2 linked regions of the Canis lupus familiaris genome follow. The protein of the gene in region 1 interacts with the protein of each later gene in a biochemical or structural test. Links are inferred from orthologs where the notes say so. Each region holds a gene or a part of one and is shown on either strand. Other genes may lie near its edges.

Evidence for each region.
Region 2: the proteins of LATS2 (region 1) and MOB1B form a complex in vitro, tested with the Homo sapiens proteins (2 studies listed by BioGRID). The link is inferred for Canis lupus familiaris from reciprocal best matches to the Homo sapiens genes LATS2 and MOB1B.

Annotation. Positions count from the first base shown.
Region 1 is NC_049246.1:17,234,797-17,245,201, forward strand, and holds part of LATS2 (serine/threonine-protein kinase LATS2), read left to right. Parts: intron 1-574; coding exon 575-707; intron 708-2,122; coding exon 2,123-3,537; intron 3,538-4,867; coding exon 4,868-5,450; intron 5,451-6,613; coding exon 6,614-6,796; intron 6,797-8,594; coding exon 8,595-8,701; intron 8,702-10,405. UniProt on the Homo sapiens protein: Negative regulator of YAP1 in the Hippo signaling pathway that plays a pivotal role in organ size control and tumor suppression by restricting proliferation and promoting apoptosis.
Region 2 is NC_049234.1:61,201,026-61,211,530, reverse strand, and holds the start of MOB1B (MOB kinase activator 1B), read right to left. Parts: upstream 6,921-10,505; 5' UTR 6,789-6,920; coding exon 6,775-6,788; intron 6,175-6,774; exon of another isoform or gene 5,632-6,174; intron 1-5,631. UniProt on the Homo sapiens protein: Activator of LATS1/2 in the Hippo signaling pathway which plays a pivotal role in organ size control and tumor suppression by restricting proliferation and promoting apoptosis.

The DNA of each region.
Region 1 (10,405 bases):
ACTTTAACCGTTGTTCAACCGTTGTTCACATTAAACTGTTCTAGTTTTAGGTTTACTCCCAAAGCAGGATTTTTTTTTGGGGGGGTGGGGGGGTTATCACATTGGTTCTTTTATTTTTTATTTTTTAAATAAAATTTTTTTTATTGGTATTCAATTTGCCAACATACAGAATAACACCCAGTGCTCATCCCGTCAAGTGCCCACCTCAGTGCCCGTCACCCAGTCTCCCCCAATCCCAAAGCAGGATTTATCAGTCCAATCACAGAAGTTTTCTAAGGAGAAGCAGAACTTAGGATTCTTTCAGGTCCACCCATCAAAATTCCTGTGTGTTTGTGACATACAATAAATAGCCTATGGGTTAATGTGTGTTAGGCTTTTGTCATGAAGCACCTGAGGACATGTGGCCAACTGTGCTCGTTCTGAGACTTGTCTGCGGCACGTCACAGACCCCAGCAGGCACAGAGGCAGATATCACAACAGTTCTGAGCAGGGTGAGAATAGAAGTCCCTGCATGGCTTTGTGTCAAGATGACACACATTGAGACTTCCCATTCATCTGTGTGCTTTCCTCCCAGGAGATGGCAGGCAGGGCCCTCAAGCAGACTGGCAGCCGGAGCATCGAGGCCGCCCTGGAGTACATCAGCAAGATGGGCTACCTGGACCCCAGGAATGAGCAGATAGTGCGAGTCATTAAGCAGACCTCCCCAGGTGAGCTCAGACCTGCTGCACTGTGGGTGAAGACGGTTTGCAGGAAGTGAGGTCCAGTGTGGCCCTGGTCAGTGCATTATCTGTTGGCACTCACTGCCCTTACTGGTGAGCTGGGCCTGCCCTGCTCTGCATTTGGGCCCTGAAAAGAGAGGCAACAGGTGGCAAATCATGGGAATTACCTGGGTCCTGAAATAGCCTCTGGTACTTTCTGGGGGGCGGGGGTTGTATACATATTTTTTTTTATGGAGTTTGAAGAACTCACTGGATAGTAAAGTTAGGCAACCTAGCAGAGAGTGAGTTTTAAAATGTTCTTTTTACTTTCTCTTGGGCCTGCGAGGGAGTCTTTGAAAAGGGAGGTTTATTTCCTTGATTTTTTTTTTTAAGATTTTAAAAAAGATTTTATCTATTTGAGAGAGAGTGAGTACAGCAGGAGGAGGAGGGAGAAGCAGACTCCCTACTGAGCAGGGAGCCCAGTGCAGGGATAATCCTGGGACCCTGGGACCATGACTGGGGCCATGACTGGGGCCAAACGAAGTTGCTTAACCGACCGAGCCACCCAGGTGCCCCTATTTCATTGACTTTAAAATACAGTGATTTCTCACACTGTAGCCTCAGAGCAGGCTGGAAGACGTCTCTCCAGCCTGGAGGCCGTAGGCAGTGGCCTAGACAACCCCTCAGTATCCCCTGGGAAGGGCCAGAGGCACCAGCACCAAATGCTCTGCCTCATTGGCTGTCAGTGAATGTTCCTTTTTGAGGATAGAGCAAATGGGAGGGACAATTTTTGGTACCTGAGGTCCCTGGGCATGATAAGGGATTTAGGATAGTTAGCAAAAAGGGCTTTCCTTATTTTGTCTTTGATCTTTGATAAAACTCCCTTCCTCTGTTGAGTGAGAAATTGTATCTTTGTTAAGAGGGCACAAACTCTTGTTTTCTTGTTGATAGAAGACCCTTAAACCCTTGCCTGCCGGCTATCCCTGTCAAGATTCTTAGAGTCCCAGAGTCTGTCTTGGGGCAGAGCCCCAAAGGGAAATGCAGGCCCAAATCTGTTATGATTTTCTTCTACATTTGCCTCTGATGTGTATTCATTGATGCATCTTCTTAGCCCAGGAAGACAGTCATTGTTTGTCTGTGCTTCTGCACTAGTTGATGTCTGTAGAGGTTCTCGGCTCTGCCAGGTATCCCTGTGAGGGACCTCGGGGGGCAGGGCAGAGCCTGTGACCCAGAAGTTCCCCAGGATCTGCCCACAGCAGAGTTCAGCCTTTGTCAAAGGGCCTTCCAGAGGGCCTGGGCTCATGGAAGAGCCTGCAGCAGGGCCAGCCCCAAGGACACTGCCGGCAGGCGGGGCCAGTCTGCAAGAGGCAGACCAGCTGCACAGGCTCCCCACTAATGCCATGTCCCTCTTCTGTTCTCTGCAGGAAAGGGAACCGTACCAGCCTCTGTACCACGGAGGCCAAGCTTTGAAGGAACAGGTGACCCTTTCCCACCCTACCATCAGATGAGTGCGGCAGCCTACGAGGGTGGCAGCACACTGGAGGAGGTGCCTCGCCAGTACATGGACTTTCTCTTCACTGGAAGCACTCACAGTGTGCCCAGTGGCCATCAGCACCAGCCCAAAGGCTATGCCGCAAACATGGAGGCCGCGGGCATGAGCTTCCCAGTGGCTGGCCCTGGGGGCCAAGCCCTCCCGCTGCAAGGCCCCCACTACAGGCCACACCTGCTGGTGCCTGGGGAGCCGCTGGGCTATGGCATCCAGCGCAGCCCCTCCTTCCAAAACAAGGAGGCCGGAGCTTATGCAAACTTGGCTGCCAAGGGCCCAGGTGGGCAGCCTGGGGCTGGCCATGCGTTCCCGCCCACGGGAACACCGACAGGTCTGTATATGCCCCACACGCACCACAAGCAGGCCCACCAGGTGCACATGCTGGGCTCCAGGGGCCAGGTGTTCACCAGCGACAGCCCCCCCCAGAGTCTGATGACACCCTCCAGAAACAGCCTCAACGTGGACCTATATGACCTGAGCAGCCCTCCTGTCCAGCAGTGGCAGTCCTCTACCCTGTCCCGCCGTGACTCTCTTCAGAAGCCAGGCCTGGAGGCACCAGCCCGCCAGCACGTGGCATTCCTGCCTGAAGGCCCTGTCCCTAGCAGAACCAACTCCTTCAACAACCACCAGCAGCCAGTGGCCGTGCCCATCCGGGCGGGAGTGCCCAGCAAGACAGAGCCGTCCATGCCCTCCCCCAACACCATCACAGCTGTGACAGCCGCCCACATCCTGCACCCAGTGAAGAGTGTGAGGGTGATGCGGCCCGAGCCTCAGACGGCTGTGGGGCCCTCCCACCCAGCCTGGGTGCCAGCGCCCACCCCCTCTGGAGCCGAGGGTCTGGACGCCAAGGATGAGCACCCTCTGCCCCTGGGGGGCGCCAGTGCGTACCCGCTGGATGTTGACTATGGCAGCCCAGACCTGAGGTGCCCACCCCCGCCCTACCCCAAACACCTGCTACTCCGCAGTAAGTCCGAACAGTACGATGTGGACAGCCTGTGCGCGGGCCTGGAGCAGAGCCTCCGTGGGAGCCAGGCTGCAGAGCCTGCCGACAAGACTGACAAGAGCCACAAGAGCGCCAAAGGGGACAAAGCAGGGAAGGATAAAAAGCAGATTCAGACCTCTCCTGTTCCTGTTCGGAAAAACAGCAGAGATGAAGAGAAGAGGGAGTCCCGCATCAAGAGCTACTCCCCATACGCGTTTAAGTTCTTCATGGAGCAGCACGTGGAAAACGTCATAAAAACCTACCAGCAGAAGGTCAACCGAAGGTTGCAGCTGGAGCAGGAAATGGCAAAAGTAATTTCTCATTATGTCCTTATCATTGGGCCCTGGTTCTTTCCTAAAGTGGTAATGGGAATTACAGCAGAATCCCATTTCTGTTTCTGCTTTATGCACCTTTATTACAAACAATTAGTCTCACGGGGCGATGGTGGGTTATAGGCGAACAGCTTGGCAATGTCACAGATGTTGCTGGATCTGTTGCACGTTCACACTGACTCTGCAGGTGAGCAGTGAACACTGTGCATGATTCCCCCAACAGGCAGATTGCCAGATCGATTTTTAGGGTCAGTCCTTATTTATTAACAAAATTTGTCAAATTTTAGTAACTGGTACTTAAACACTTTGAAAGGGTAGAAACAAAGTTTGAGATTTTATAAATTGAAATTGTGGGATTTATAAAGAAAAATATATCTGGTAACAATCTATTTATCCTTTAATTCTATAATTAACAAATATTTTTTTTAAGATTTTATTTATTTGGGAGAGGGACAGAGGGAGCACAGCAGGGGGAGAGGCAAAAGCCAGAGGGAAAGGGAGAAGCAGACTCCCCACTGAGCAGGGAGCCCAATGCATGACTCCATCTCAGGACCCGGAGATCATGACCTGAGCCCAAGGCAGATGCTTAACCGACAGCCTCCCAGACACCCAGCAAATACATATATATGTTTTAATATTTTATTTATTTATTCATGAGAGACACTGAGACAGAGAAGCAGAGACATAGGCAGAGAGAGAAGCAGACTTTGTGCAGGGAGCCTGATGTAGGACTGGATCCCGGGACTCCAGGATAATGCCCTGAGCCGAAGGCAGATGCTCAACCACTGAGCCACCCAGGCGTCCCTCAGCAAATATTTTAAATGTACCTTAGTTGACAGTAATCTGCTAGAGAAGGTTATTGAGGAAATGATTTAAATTAAAATGTTACAGTAAATTGAAATCACACAAAGTCAATCATTGCAAATTCTAAAAATCTGTGCTCTTTCTGCTCTCCCATTTTCATTGATTTTTCTTTGTTCCCATTTTCCTTGAGCTATTCAATTATTAGATTGCTCTTAGAGTTCCAGGAACTTTGTGGTCCCCTTTTCAAAAATTTTTATTTATAGAGGTTTCCTTTAGAGCCTAAAAAGGAAGTAATTTCACCTGTTTTATCTTCCCTTTAGATTCCAGATGTGTGTCTACATAAGCATATAAAGAACAAACCAGTTGCTTGTTAGTATACTGGACCTATTCAGTGTTCTTAAATATGAAAATTAAGTTAGGACTGTCTCAGTTCTAGGGTCTCCCGCCCCACCTGTTTCCTATCATGTGACCAATAATGTGACTTCCTTGTTTTCCTTCTCCACAGGCTGGACTTTGTGAAGCTGAGCAGGAACAGATGAGAAAGATCCTCTACCAGAAGGAGTCTAATTACAACAGGCTGAAGAGGGCCAAAATGGACAAGTCCATGTTTGTGAAAATCAAAACCCTGGGGATCGGTGCCTTTGGAGAAGTGTGCCTTGCTTGTAAGGTGGACACTCATGCCCTATATGCCATGAAGACCCTGAGGAAGAAGGATGTCCTGAACCGAAATCAGGTGGCCCATGTCAAGGCTGAGAGGGACATCCTGGCCGAGGCGGACAATGAGTGGGTAGTCAAACTCTACTACTCCTTCCAAGACAAGGACAGCCTGTACTTTGTGATGGACTACATCCCAGGGGGGGATATGATGAGCCTGCTGATCCGGATGGAGGTATTCCCTGAGCACCTGGCCCGGTTCTACATTGCAGAGTTGACTCTGGCCATTGAGAGTGTCCATAAAATGGGCTTCATCCACCGAGACATCAAGCCAGACAACATTTTGATAGATCTTGATGGTCACATCAAACTGACAGATTTTGGCCTCTGCACTGGGTTCAGATGGACTCACAATTCCAAATACTACCAGAAAGGTATTGTCTCAGACGTGCCACATCCACTTTTTCTTTTTTTTTAAGATTTTATTTATTCATGAGAGACACAGAGAAAGGTAGAGGGATAAGCAGGCTCCATGCCGGAAGCCCGATGTGGGACACAATCCTGGGTCTCCAGGATCACACCCTGGGCTGAAGGTGGCGCTAACCTGCTGAGCCACCGGGGCTGCCCGCCACATCCACTTTCTACATCTAGACATAACTGAACTAAGGCAATGCTTTCCCATCCTGGTGGCTCCTGATCATTTTGAAATTATCTGTTTTCCATTATTCTATAATTTGATATGACATCCTTTTCTTCCTGAAGGAGATGCAAGTTATATTATAGTATTTTTAGGACAGTAGGCTGTGGGGTGTGGACCTTGGTTGGGAACCATCGCTCTGCCCTTATAAAATGAGCCTTAAAAACTAAGCCTTACAACCTTCCAAGAGTCCTCTTCTTATAGCTAATGTGATTTTTTTCTATAGGTATCTCTAAGTGTAGGTATAGGTTAACACCATCTTTTGCAGTCCTCCTGGCCATTATCTTATTTATGGCTTAATTTCTTGAAATAGTCATTTTAATACCATGGCTCAGCCTTTTATTTTATTTAAAAAAAATTTTTTTTAATGTAATCTCTACACCCAATGTGGGGCTTGAACTCAACCCTGAGATTAAGAGTTGCATGCTCCATCAACCGAGCCTCATGCTTCTATTTTTCAACTCAAAACTAATCCTAATTTAATTCATTCCCATTAATGCCATTCATTCTGGCATTAAAGTCACTTTTGTTTATATTTTTTAATTCCTCTCATGCTTTTCCACGCTCATCTTGAAACATGTCTTGTCAGACAGGTAGTAGACTTTGGCCCGCATGCTATGCACGATATTGCCACAGTTACCTGAGCTTTGCTCCCTCAGCATCACACTATCACCCTGCACAGCACCCAACTCCTGTCATTGCTTCATCCGTTGTTCGTAGTGTTTGTGTTACCTCATGGATTGAGTCTACAGAGCAGTTGGGGAGGATTCTTTCTCTTAACATGTCAGGAGCTGAACTGAATTACTTTCCCCTTTGAAATTGTGGATTTGTTGCATTGTTGAATAGTGGAAATTCATTTTTTTATTCCCTTCTTCACTGCCCCTGATTCCTGGATGAAAGGGAGCCACATCAGACAGGATAGCATGGAGCCGAGTGACCTCTGGGACGACGTGTCTAATTGTCGATGTGGAGACAGGCTGAAGACCCTGGAGCAGAGAGCCAGGAAGCAGCACCAGAGGTGCCTGGCTCACTCCCTGGTTGGGACCCCAAATTACATCGCACCGGAAGTGCTCCTCCGAAAAGGTGCGTGCTTCCAGCCACAGCCAGCTGCCCAACTGGCAGCCATCTTCACTTCAAACCTGAGCCAGATGACCTCTAAGAGTCTCTCCAGCTCCAGCTGTCTGAGACTCTGAATGTTCTCATTGTATTTTTGTACTTGTGGAAGCCCAAGAGTGAAATTATTTCCCTAACAAACAAGCCTCCAATGTATCTCATGTCTTTTGCAACTGCCCTTGCTTCCAGGGTGAAAGAGGACATACACCATTAGACGTGTCTTGCTAGTTCACTCCTTTGGCTGGGAAGTGTTAGGTTGGGGTGTAGGGTTGGGCTTTCTATCTAGAACCCAAGAGAATCTCTCCACATTGCTTTGACAGACACATCTCTCAGAGCACAGGGACACTACTCAGTCTCCTAAGCCATACACGTCCAGGATCCCGCTTTGACTCTTCCTTGCCTGAGTTCCTAGCTGCTTATACCAGCTGGTTATGGTTATATTCAGCTGGTTATGAAGTATGACAGGACATAAGTATTGTTTCCCTCCAGTTCTCCCCCTGTTGTTCCAGAAGTGCTGGAAGGTGAGATTTGGGGGCAGTGGTGTACATGCAACTACAAGCATTCAGTAGAATTAGTCTCCTGTGTGGATGCTCTGTTTTATCAAATACGACATTTGATTGAGTACGAGAAGAACCTTTCAGGGATCAGTTGCAGGGCTTTTAGTGACAGTATAATAAATCCAGAGATCGGTGGTCTGTCTTTTCACATGTGGTGGTCTGTCTTTTCACATGTGTTGTTTTACTCCAGTTTTCTTTGTCAGCTGTGGAAATCCAAAGCAAAGCACTTAACCACTCAGAGCCACAGGTATAACAATAACTACCTTGAGAGGTTGCTGTGAACATCAGCCTTACCGCACAGGAAAGTCTCATTGTCTCCTTCCTCTCACAGTGGGAGGTGAGAAGTATCTCCAGCACCCTAATGTGTGCAGTCCTGGAACTAGGGATCCAAGTTACCCTGCCACCTCTAGTGCCAGACCAGGGTGGAAGAGCTGGGGGATGGGGTGATGGGAGAACACAGCAAATGCTGCTGGCAGGTCTTAAGGCCCAGTTCAGGCTTAGCCAGGATCAGGTGACATCAAGACTGGAGCATGACTGGGACTAGGATGCAGAGCTCTGAAGGACAAGTGGGAGAAAATTGAAAAATGGGCCTGTTGTACTGCCTTGGTGAGGCTGGCTCGCCTGACCAAGCTGCAGGCGCCCTGCCGCAGCTACCGCACCTTGGGAGCTCCGTGAGGAAGGGCCTGGCTCTCTGAGTGCATCGCAGTAGGTCTTAGGAGACAGTTGTTTTCTTTGCCCTCCTCTTCATACTCCTCAACTTCTTCCAAAACAGACTTAGCAAGCCTCCCAGGGAAGCCCTCAGGACTGGCAGGTAGAGCACTTTCTGGTTTTCAGTTAGTCCTATTTTAGTTTATGTCTTTCAGTTCTTTAAGAACTGAAAATCCCGGTTAGTGATGTTACTAACAATAGGCTTTTAAAAGTAGAAAGTCTTATTATAAAAGCATCCTGTGTTTATTACAGACTAATTGTAGAAAATAAGAGAATACATGAAGACTGTCACCACCCTGGCAGGTGTCCCACCCAGCCTGCTATTCTGAGCCACACGTACAGGGAGGCACATTTTGTGTCGGTTGCTTTCCTTTTACATGACATGTGTGCTGCTTGAACATGCTTTCCCCTTCAACGGCAAATTAGCATTTGAGGATTTTGCAAAACTCTTCTCTGAGAAGAATGCACACCTGTGTGGAATTGAGTGAGACTTTGTCTTTCAGGATACACTCAGCTCTGTGACTGGTGGAGTGTTGGTGTGATTCTCTTCGAGATGCTGGTGGGACAGCCACCCTTTCTGGCCCCTACCCCCACGGAAACCCAACTGAAGGTAGGTACTAACCAGCCCATGCATCTGCTCGCTGCAAACACACTTGGTTTTCTGATGAACCCATGAGTCTCTGGTCAGCATTTGACCTTTAATTCTGAGTAGTGGAAGAGTGTCAGTTGTATGTTTTTAAATCATTATTATTACCTGTATAAAAAGTTTTATTTTAATAAGTAAAGCCACCAAGTTAGACCTGTGTTTTGATATCTATGTATATCTGAAGTTTTACTTGAACCATTGGTCATCCGCCATCTTGAACTATGAACAGGGAGAAGCAGTAAAGGTGGGCCCTATGTCCATTCTCTGCTGCCACACGTGCCTACCTGCAAAAAATACTGAAAACTTTATGAACTGTACTTGAAGAAATCAATTACTTCTTTGGATATTATACTACATTATACACTATATCCATTATTGCTTGCAGATTATCAGCTATGTGATTGGGCTAGTTGCACATTTTTCTAATATTGATTGGAAGTAATCATTTAATAGTAAATAATTAGTTTTGGAGTTATAACCATTATTCTCTGAAATAAATGATTTGATTTCTTAGGAAGGACTGAATTGAGAATTTGATAAAATCTTTGGAACATCTTTGAACAGTGCACTTACCCACCAAAATATGTGTTCACTAAAAATTCTTGAAGTATTCATAAGTCCCAGAGTCCATGTTAGACCCTAAATTAATAATCCCTTATTTAGAAAAATCCTGAATGAAGGCTTAGTTTTCACTCTGGTAACAATAAAAATGAAATTTGACACTATTTCTATCCTAATTGAATTGCCATACCATTCACTAATTTGCTTGTATGATAACTCAATTTTTTATTGTGATAAAATTTACCAGTTTAAACATTTTTAATTTTACAGCTGAGTGGCTTTAAGTGCATTCACAGTGTTGTACGACTGTAACCATAACCTATCTTCGATAGTTTTATCATCCCAAACAGAAACTGGGCTCATCAACAATAGCTCCCCATTCCTCCCACCCCCAGACCTCTCTTTGACTTTTTTCTCTGTGAAGTTGCCTAGTCTAGGTATCCTGTAAAAGTGTAATACCGTATTTGTCCTTTCACCACTGGCTTATTTCACTTTAGCATGTCTTCGAGGTCCATCCATCTTGTAACGTGTCAGAATTTCCTTCCTTTTTAAGGCTGAAGAATATTCCAGTGTATGTGTATAGCACATATATTTATCAAGCATCTGGTGATGAACAATTGGGCTTTTTCTACCTTTTGGTGATTGCGAATAATGCTGCTGTGAACATGAGTACATATACAAGTATCTGTTTGAGTTCCTGCTTTTGTTTTTGGGGTTACATGCCCAGAAGTGGAATGGCCAGATCATATGGTCATTCTACATTTAACTTTTATTTTATTTATTTTTTTTTTACATTTAACTTTTTGAGGAACCACCAAACTGTTTGCCACAGTGGCTACATGATTTTACATTCCCATCATCAGTGCTTGAGGCTTCCAGTTTCTTCACATGCTCATCAACATTTACTTCATTTGTTGTTGTTGTTGTTTAATAGTAATCATCCTAGTGGGTGTGAGGTGGTATCTCATTGTGGATTTTTTTTTTTTTTTTTAAGATTTTTACTTATTTGTTCACGAGAGATACAGAGAGAGAGGCAGAGACATAGGCAGTGGGAGAAGCAGGCTCCCTGTGGGGAACCCGATGTGGGACTTGATCCCAGGACACTAG
Region 2 (10,505 bases), on another chromosome or scaffold:
ACCTACAGAAATTGTGTATGATTTAAGCAATCAGAATGATGAATATGTCAATAAAAAATAACAACAGCTACTAGCAATCATGACACTGTTGAGTTATCAATAATGAACTAGATATTGCTGCTGCACTTAACTATAATTTATTGAGCTAGGCCTTTTACATTCAATATCTTTAATTCTTCCAACATCTCTGAGGTCTTGATCCTAACACAGGATTCATAGGAAAAAAATTAGATTACTGTCATACTCGTACCATACACAGTGGAGTCTCAGTCTGCTTTCAATACGGCTGAAGCAGGGGCCTGCACATGCTCTGGAGACATGGATGACATGTGGAAGCTGGAGCCACAACAAGGGTGGTGGCCAGGAAGGGTTAGGAGAATGGCAATGCACAGTCGTTTGAGCAAATACATATGTTGAGAATTATGGGAGCCTATTTTTCACTAACAAAGTGAAAAATATGTGAAGAGAGAAAGTAGAATGAACCCTGTGCTACTCGGATCAGACCTGCAGATATTAGTATGAACTCACTCAATACATACATGTAAATGTATGTGGACATGGTATTTTCTAGCACTATCTGCTGAGAGGGCCTGGGAACAGCAACATATCTGTACTAACATACCTATCACCTACATTCTGTTTTCTAAATACCATTTTTCAATGAACAGAATAAACACCTTTAGAGAAATGGCCATTTCCAGGTACAGGGCACAGAAAATGTAGGACAAATCTGGAATACCTGGTTGTGCCAGAAAGTTAGGAAATACTCAGAAAAAGAGACAAGCAGAGAGACTTAGAAACCAGACTGAACAGGGCTCCCACTAGCCAAAGCTGAAACATTAGGAGCATCAACATAAATAATTATAGTTATAAATCATTAAATACAATAGGAATCAAAATGCCTCCACTGATAGATAAAATTCTTCAGTAAAAATGTCAAATAAATGTAAAAGCCTGACAGAATTAGAACACAGCCATCAATGTAATAAGTAGTAATAAGTTAGACAAGAAACATCAAAGAACACTAAAACTAGTGGGTGAAAACAAAATGAGGAATGAGACAGTTCCACAGTCTCAAAACACCTCCCCACAAAATATTAATTACTCAAAGGAAAAAACATATATAATAATGTCACACTGGAGAATCTCTGTAGACGCTTTAATCAAAGGATCACTTCCAATCATGGGCAAACATATGTTAAATGCACCATAAGAAGCTATAAGATAAACCTATGTAACACTTCTGTAATATTTTTGCCCCAAATGCATAACCAGGTCTAACCACAAGAAAACATGACAAACTCAAACTGAAGGATATTCCACAAAATAACTGGCCTATAATCCTCAAAAATATCAAGGTCCTGAAAGGCAAGGGAAAACTTAAGGAAATATTTCAGTTGGAAGAAGGCTGAAGAACAAAATTGGGTGAGTCATGACTGGACCCTTTTGCTGAGGATAACATTATTGGATCACACTAAATGGGGTCTCTGGATAAAAACTATGTAGGAATTCTTTGGGCTATTTTTTGCAACTTTTCTAAAAATCTGAAAATCTTTCAAAATAAAATTTAAAAACCACTTTCTACAAATGAACAGGTTTCACAGCTACACTTTTTACTAAATGAGCTATGAAGGATGGCCTTAAGTTAGATGATTGATACAAAACAAAAATGCAAGTTGTACTCTTGAAGCTAACATAATGTTATATATCAATTATATCTCAATTTTAAAAAACGGAAATGTGGAAAGAAGAGTTAAAAAAATTTCTCTATAAGACTTAACGCTCCTAAAAGGTACCATTTTTTCAAGTACACGTAGCTATTCTGTCCCAATACCTCATAATCAAATATACAGCTGAGAAGAAGTACTACATGTGCTTTTGTATATTAGACACTCCAAAGGTACAAAAACTCTGCAACTATGAGGGCAAAAAAAAAAAAAAATCAATAATGATAAAAGTGATCACATAGTAATTATTTTGCACTCAGTAATGTAAAGCAAAAGCAATTCTATATTAGAGAGGAAAAGTAAACTAAACCCAGTCAGGTATCTACAATTCTCAAACTGTAGTTCTAAAAGATGACCACACTTAATCTACTCCCCCACCCCTCAAAAAAAGCATAACATAGTAAATCAGGCTGTCAGAAAACAAAACTGTTAACACTTGGTCAACAGCCATTCAAAATCATATTGCAGAATGATGTTTGCTGACATAAAAAAATTCCCAAATGGAAAATCTGGTCTATATGTAGTAGAAACGTGGCAGGAAAGATGAGGAAACTATATCACAGAATACAAATAATAGTTATTTTGGAAGGTGTAATGATTATGAGTGACTTATTTTCTTGCTTTTCTTAGCACTATATTGTGATTTCTGCAACATGTGTATTATTTTTACATTAAAAATGGGAGTCAAGGGGCACCTGGATGACTCTGGTTGAGCATCTGCCTTTGGCTCAGTTCGTGAACCTGGGGTCCTGGGACTGAGTCCCGCATCAGGCTCCCACAGGGAGCCTGCTTCTCCCTCTGCCTGTCTCTGCCTCTCTGTGTCTCTCATAAATAAATAAATAAAATCTTTTATAAAAGATGGAAGTCAAAAATAATTATAAGTATTATTTAAATTTAAAAGCTTCTATTTTTTTCTTCCACTATTATATTCTTGGTGACCCTTAGCAAACAGTCCAGGAGTATGAGCTATTAATACCTGGGAATGGGAGACTTCTAAAAACAAGGCCTTTTGAATACTATCTTTTTATATAATTTTTTTTTAATTTTTATTTATTTATGATAGTCACACAGAGAGAGAGAGAGAGGCAGAGACACAGGCAGAGGGAGAAGCAGGCTTCAGGCACCGGGAGCCCGATGTGGGATTCGATCCCAGGTCTCCAGGATCGCGCCCTGGGCGGGCCAAAGGCAGGCGCTAAACCGCTGCACCACCCAGGGATCCCATCTTTTTATATAATTTTATCAATTATAGATATGAGGCAGGACTGTTGGATTTAGACTGCTAAAATTCAGACCCCTGCTATTATCACTGGCCCCATAATTTTAAACAAATTATTTAACCTCTCTTTGCTAGTTTCTTCTTCTGCTAGTTATTGAACTAAGTTAATCATTTAGAGCACTGAGTGCCTGGCACATGGTAAACACTTAGCAATATTTATTATTACTATTATTAATATTAGTTTCCTTTATAGGTGAAGATGCTGAAGCACTCCAGTCAGTCAGCTTATTTGCCTTAAAACAAAGATGCTGGGGTTATTTTTGGTGAGGGGGGGCAGGACTGAAAGAGGTAGAAGAGGGAGACAGAGACACATATAAACACAGCTACATCTCCTTTCCTAAATTGCTATTATTTTGGAAAAGATAAATTGAATTTACCTAGAATAATGCTCAGTATTTCCTTCCTTTCCCAACAGATCTGATTCTCCCTATACAGAAACAGACCTGGTTTATATTCATTCACATCCCTAAACCACCTTTCCTCCAGACTTCCATTTTAAAGTTAACTACAAATATTTGTTTTAACTCTGTTCCAATCAAGTAGCCCTACATTAGGAAATAATATCTTGGTCTTTTCCAAGTCAAATATTTCAGTGAAATTCTATTGGTCAGAAGAGACCAGCAATTACAAAATGCTAGAAACAGAAAACACTCAACGTACTCTGAATGAACATTGAGAACTCACTCTGATCCTAAATTTCCCTGAATGTTATGTGCATAAAATGCCAAGAGAGGAAAAACCCTAAAAGGCCTGTGTTTCAATTCAACACAAGCCAATAATTAGGCCGGTAACCTGATGTCAGTGATTTTGCCATTTTACCCAAAAGAGGTTGAGTAAGCTATGTTACTATAGATCCCATCTAGCTCCACAATTCCATAGCCTCCTGGACAAACCTGAAAATGGACAATTCACAAGCAAATTCACGTTTCTGTGATGTTTCCTGCGACTGAAATCTTCTAGTTTCCCACACCCTTTTAGAGAACCCTTGTTATACATTCCATTAACTATCAATCACTTATTTCAAGAAGCCTTCCTCCAGCCCAAATAAAGCAAATTATTCCATATTCTTTAGACCTCCATGACTGTATTGCATCTATTACAGATGACTATTTATAAACTGTCTACCACTCTGGAGTTCCACATTGCGCACAATGCTTAGCACACAGCAGGTGCTGAGGATGTTTAAAGATTTGAGACTACAAAGTTAAATTAGGTTCCTGTGAAGTTTCCCTATGTACATTTGGGAGTTTAGCTTATTAATCTGAAGATACATAAAGGCCAATGTGTAGCACAACCAAAGCTTTGTCCCAGTCATATCTATAGATGCTGTACAATTTATTCTGAGCATTTGCACAAAAGCTATAAAAGGTATCATTGCTGCTGATTATCTGGGTACCGTTTGGGGATTACCTAATCTACCTCATCTCCCCTTCCAAAAAAACCTCTTTACCCTGCTTTACTTTGTTCCATGGCACTTACATCCTCCTACAATGCAATATAATTTACTGGTATTCAGTGTTTATGGTCACTTACCAAAACATAAGCTGAACTAATACAGGAATTTTTGTCTGTTTTGTTCATAAATGATACCCGGTGCCTACATCAGTACCTGGCACAATAAACGATTTTCTTAACCAATAATTCTCTCCTTCTGACTTAAAGCCGTCAGGAGTTATGAGTCAGCATCTTCATAAACCTATCTCACATTGCCCTTATTTCCTCGGCTCCATCATTTACAGTAGCCTTACAAGTAGGCTTCCAAGAGCTAGAAGAAAATGTTTACATTTACTTCCTAACTTGCAACTTTTAATTTTCCTGCTCACCTACTGGTACAGAAATAGGTGTATATCTTCAGGAAGATATACCAAATAATATATAGATGAAATAATCAAAACTTTGTTCTTTCACTTTGATAATAATTACTTCTATCCATGAGGTCTTCACTTTAGATTTGAAACTACTGGTAGACAAAAAACAAAACCAATAAGGTTGGATTAACTTTTTTGGATTGTCAGGCATGAGGGCCAAATATATTGGGAATGTATTAACTGCTACATGAAACCTAACTGAAAAATTGTGCTCCAGACAGTACAAACCTATAATGTGGTATATATATATACACATATATATATACACACATTTGTTATGGCAGGGTTTTTCTTATGTAACTTGTATGCTTCAGAAGAAATGAACTTAAGCACTGCATTTCAGTAACTATAAAATACTGAGCCATGTAAAAATAGGATACTATTCTATTTGTATTCAGAAAATATCACCAAGACCTTCTCGAGACATCCCCTAGTTTCAGCCAAATATGGTTCTTCCCTGCTTCAACCAATTTAGCTCTGAGTTCCAAGAGACACAAGCCCATCGGCAGCAGTCATGGACATCATCCACATTGCTATTTTGAAGACAGCTTCTACATTCTTGAAGAAATCAAATACAAGCAATGTAAAACATAGTCTAGATGAGAAGCTTCAAGCTGAGACACCTGGATACCTGGATTCAAGCTAAAACTGGAAGCAGAGACCTTCATAAAGTCACCCAGTCCTCTCATGTAGCACACCTGTATGACACACTCAGATCAACTTCCAGGATGAGCCTAAGAAAGAGATTTCACCAACTCACATGTGTTCCGCAGGGTGACTCAAGGCAGGGCTCCTGTGCACACGAGAAATATCAAGCCCACCACCTGCCAGTTAATGTTCTGTGATCACAGCTTTGCATAATGCCCGGAAAACGATTAAAATCCCACGTATGAGCACGTGAAATTAAGGGTCAATTAAATTCTCAGGATCCAAGTGCCAATGTTGATGACTAAAAAATTACAGGTGGGGAAAGAAGGAAATCGGGACACAACTGCTAGGGTCATTGTTGTGAAGGAAAATGCTATCCCGTCCACGGCAGTAAAGGAGTATAAGGTGCAAGTTTCAGCCTCCGAGTCTTTATGAGCTTCTCTAACCACAGACTAAACGTGGGTGAATCACAACGAAGCCTTCAAAAGAGGAATTCCGAGGGTGTCAAGTCCTGTTTGCTGACGACCTGAGGCTGTCTGCTGCCCCCATACTCCCATTTGCCCATCCCGTTGGTCTGCCCATCCCTCCTAAAATCGTCCACAATAAAGGACGAATAAATGAAATAACGACCAGTCCTAAACGTGACGTTATTGGCATTTTCAAATCCTTCGCAAAACAACTCCCCGCGGACCTAATCAAGCCCGACTGATGGGTGCTTGTCTGAAAGGATGAGGCCCGGACTTCCCGGGGGCGCACGCCGGGGAGGGGCGGGGGGAGGCAGGCGGCTCTGCAGACCCCGAGGCCTCGGGCTGTCGCCAGGGCATCCGGACCCGAAAGCAGCCTCGTTAAGGGTGTCCCCTCCACGGGGCTCGGCGCCCCGACTTCCACTCCTAAAACCTAAGGGGAAAGTTAAAAGGGCGCTGAGGCCACAGGGGGGAAAAAAAAAAAAAGCGCAGCGCCCACTCTTCTATGCTCGGGACCCAGAAGGAGGCGGCGGGCGGCAGCTGGCGGCGCAGGACGCACGGGCCGGGGAGGGGAGGGGAGGGGCAGCAGGTGTCCCCGCAGCGCAGCCCAGCGCAGCGCGCGAGCCCCGGGCAAGGGGCAGGGAGGCTCGGAGCCGCGGGGTGCAGGGCCGGGCGGACAGAGCCTGCTCGGGGGCTGCGGGGCTGCAGGGGGGCCGGGACCGCGGGGGAGCCCCCGCCCCCCCCCCCGGGGCCGCCCGAACAAAGCCGGCGCGCGGGGCCCGGCGACTCACAACAAGAAGCTCATGTCGGCCGCGGCGCGGGCTGGGCGGCGTCTCTAGGCCTCGGGGCGGCAGGCGCGCGGGAGCAGGAGGAAGGCGGCGCCGGCTTCTCCGCGGCGCGACCAGCTCGGCTCTGCTAGTTCCAACGGCAGGCAGAGGGGGCGGGAGGGAGAGGCGCCCGGCGCGGATCGCCCTCCGGGAGGCGGGGAAAGGCCGCACGCCCGCCCCCGGGAGCACAGCCGCCGCCGCCGCCGCAGAGCCGCCCCCTCCCCTCCCCCTCCTCCCGCTTCGCCCCGCCCCCCGCGGCCCTCACCCCGCGAGCTCTCGCGAGAGCGGCGCGCGCCCACCCTCCTCCTCCCGCGGAGCCCGCCCGCCGCTACCGGCCCGTGCACCGGGTCGGGGGCGCGGCGCTGCCCCGCGGGGCTCCAGCAGCCAGGAGGGAAGCGAGCGCCGACCCCGGGATGCCGGGGCTCTGCAGCGAGGGACGGATCTGCCCGCGGAGACCCGCCGGCTGCGGATGTGCCAGGGATGACGAAGGCGGGGCCGCCCCTGCCGCCTTAGAGACCCGAGGAGGGCAACGTGTTTGGAACAGGTTGGGCGTGGCTCCGCCGGAGCCCGGGAGTCTGCGTGGGGCTCAGGGTCCCTGCCATCGTGAGGTCGCGCCTGAGAGCCCTGAACCGGGGGCCGCCCGGGGCCGTCACTGCCTCCGCAGGCAGCTTAGGCTGTCCTCGGCCCTGGTGCCCGGAGCGTTCCTGAGCAGATCCCAGAGTTTGGCCCAGAACCCTTGACTCCGAAATGCGGAGCTCTGCAAGGGAGACTGAGCCATGTCCGGCCTCCAGGATGCTTCGTGCAGCGCCCAGCGGTTACAGTGGTCCTGGGCCCCGTAAATGCTTGCTGAATCAGCATCCGCCGAGAGCCAACCCCCCCCCCCCCAACGTTATCAATTTGAGGACCCATTTATTGCACATGACATGTGCATCTCTACGCGCAGCAAGCACCAAATCACAAGTAAGCGGCGCCGGGGTGGCTCAGTGAGGTGCCTGCCTTTGGCTCAGGTGCTGATCTCAGGATCCCGGGACCCAGCCCCTGTTGCACTCCCTGCTCAGGGGACAGCTTGCTTCTCTCTCTCCCTTTATTGCTCCCCCTGCTTATGCTTTCTCTCTCTCTGTCAAATAAGTGACTTTTTTGAATCTTAAAAAAAAATCGACAAGTAAATTTTCAAAGTATCTGAACAAAACTTAAATAATGTGCAGCTATTAACCCACCTTGGGTTGGTTACTTAAAAGAAGTACTAATATGCAGTGTATTCTGTTGCGTTTGTGCACTATTACTTTGGCAAATCAAACCATGTTTTAAAAATGAGGAAAATAGGGATCCCTGGGTGGCGCAGGGGTTTGGCGCCTGCATTTGGCCCAGGGCGCGATCCTGGAGACCCGGGATCGAATCCCACATCGGGCTCCCGGTGCATGGAGCCTGCTTCTCCCTCTACCTGTGTCTCTGCCTCTCTCTCTCTCTCTCTCTCTCTCTCTCTCTCTGTGACTATCATAAATAAATAAAAATTTAAAAAAAAGAAGAAAATCTTGGAATCTTGACACCAACTCCAAAGAAGCAGAGGTCACTGGAATAATTTGAGACTTAAAGACTCAGAAGATGCAGGAAAGAAGAGGGGAAGAATCCATCTTAATATAGTGAAGATAATGGATTTACGACAAAAGCCCACATCTTGATTTGGTGCTACTAATTTACTATATCATTCCTTAAGGGTCTTCTGAAAGTAAGACCTTGAATTAACCAGATTAGGAAATTATGTTTGGGGGGAGTAAATCAGTTGACCTGTTCAAACAACCGTCTCACCCCTGTTAAAATGAGAGCCTTGGATTATTACATGATCTGTAAGATATCTTCCAGTTCTAAAATCTGTTATGTCAGGGGTTTCATTCAAAGGACTGGCAGACAGTTCTCATCTGCTCACTGACTTGGTAGGTGGCTTATGTGGCTTTGCTTTTGTTCTAACACAGTTTAGATGAATTCTATGACACTGAATCAGAATAATGATCAGCAGAGGAGAGAATCTGCCAAATTACCTGCTGAGTTCTTCTTTTCATATCTCAAGGAGAGCTGCCTGAAATTAACGCCTGATAAAATTTAAATATATTGGTCTTAGAAATGATAGAGGTGTCATGTTAATAATACAGAATATAATTCCAGAGATTAAACATTTAAATCATACTGTGGCTGTCACAAAATTATTCAGCTTCAAAAGCACTGGAAAATTTAGAATCAAATAAAGGGTATATTCAAATAGACGTTTCTAATGACAATTTCACCTTCACCAATTCATATTTCATATTACTCTCCTCTTAAAATTTCAAGAAGTTACTCTCCTGATCAAAATCTTATTTTATTTATAAATATTTGTTTATGTGGGCACTTGGGTAGCACAGTCAGTTAAGCATCTGCCTTCTGTTCAGATTGTGATCCCAGGATCCTAGGATCGAACCCCGCATCAGGCTCCTTGCTCAGTGGAGAGCCTGCTCTCCCTCTCCCTCTGCCCCTAGCCCCCAACCCCTGCTCATGCACTCTCTCTCTCCTGCTCTCTTCCTATCTCAAATAAATAAATAAAATCTTCCCCCAAAATAAGTCTTTGTTTATGAAGGAAGATGATTAAAATTTGTATTTACCAATTTTTCAAAGAATTGACACTATAACAAGAATAGAACAGAACATGTATGGATATACCTTCAAATATCTTTTTAAAAGACTCATTCAGGGGATCCCTGGGTGGCGCAGCGGTTTGGCGCCTGCCTTTGGCCCAGGGCGCGATCCTGGAGACCCGGGATCGAATCCCACGTCGGGCTCCCGGTGCATGGAGCCTGCTTCTCCCTCTGCCTGTGTCTCTGCCTCATTCTCTCTCTCTCTCTGTGACTATCACAAATAAATAAAAATTTTTTAAAAAATGTCCTTTAAAAAAAAAAAGACTCATTCAGAAGCACCTGGTGGCTCAGTTGGTTGGGCGTCTGCCTTTGGCACAGGTCATAATCATGGGGCCCTGGGATTGAGCCTCATGTTGGGCTCCCTGCTCAGCGGGGAGCCTGCTTCTCCCTCTCCCTCTGCTGCTCCCACTGCTTGTGCTCTCTCTCAAATGAATAAATAAAATATTTTACAAAAGTTAAAATAAAAAGTTTCGTTCAAATTTACAAGTAAGTGTAATTATATATATATAAATATAAACAAACAATAGTTATAAATTGTGGTAAGATAGGAAGTAAATAGAATAATGTGATAGTACCAGTGAAGGGAGAGCTAAGAAAAGCCTCCCTAAGGAGGTGACATTTTTGCTAAGACCTGAAACAGAGAAGGAGCCAGACTTGCGAAGAGCGAGCAGATGAGCATTTTCTGGTAGAGGAAATAACAAGCACAAATGCTCTAAGATAAGAAAGAGCTTAAGGAGTTCTTAAAACTGAAAGGTTATAACCTGGGCAAGTGAGCAAGAAGAATGGCATCAGATAAAGCTGGACATGTCCGAGGGCAGGCTGGGGTTCACAGGCCTAGGCAAGACATTTGGAGAAGTCAGCAGAGAAGTAAAATAAAATAATCCAAATAACATTTCGGTTTTTCAAATTTGATAATTTCAAACATATACAAAGGGGAAGAAATTAATATAATGAATCCATCACATAGCTTCAGCAATTATCAGTTCATGATCTGTGATTAACATTTTGGAAAGATCACTCTCTTCTTGT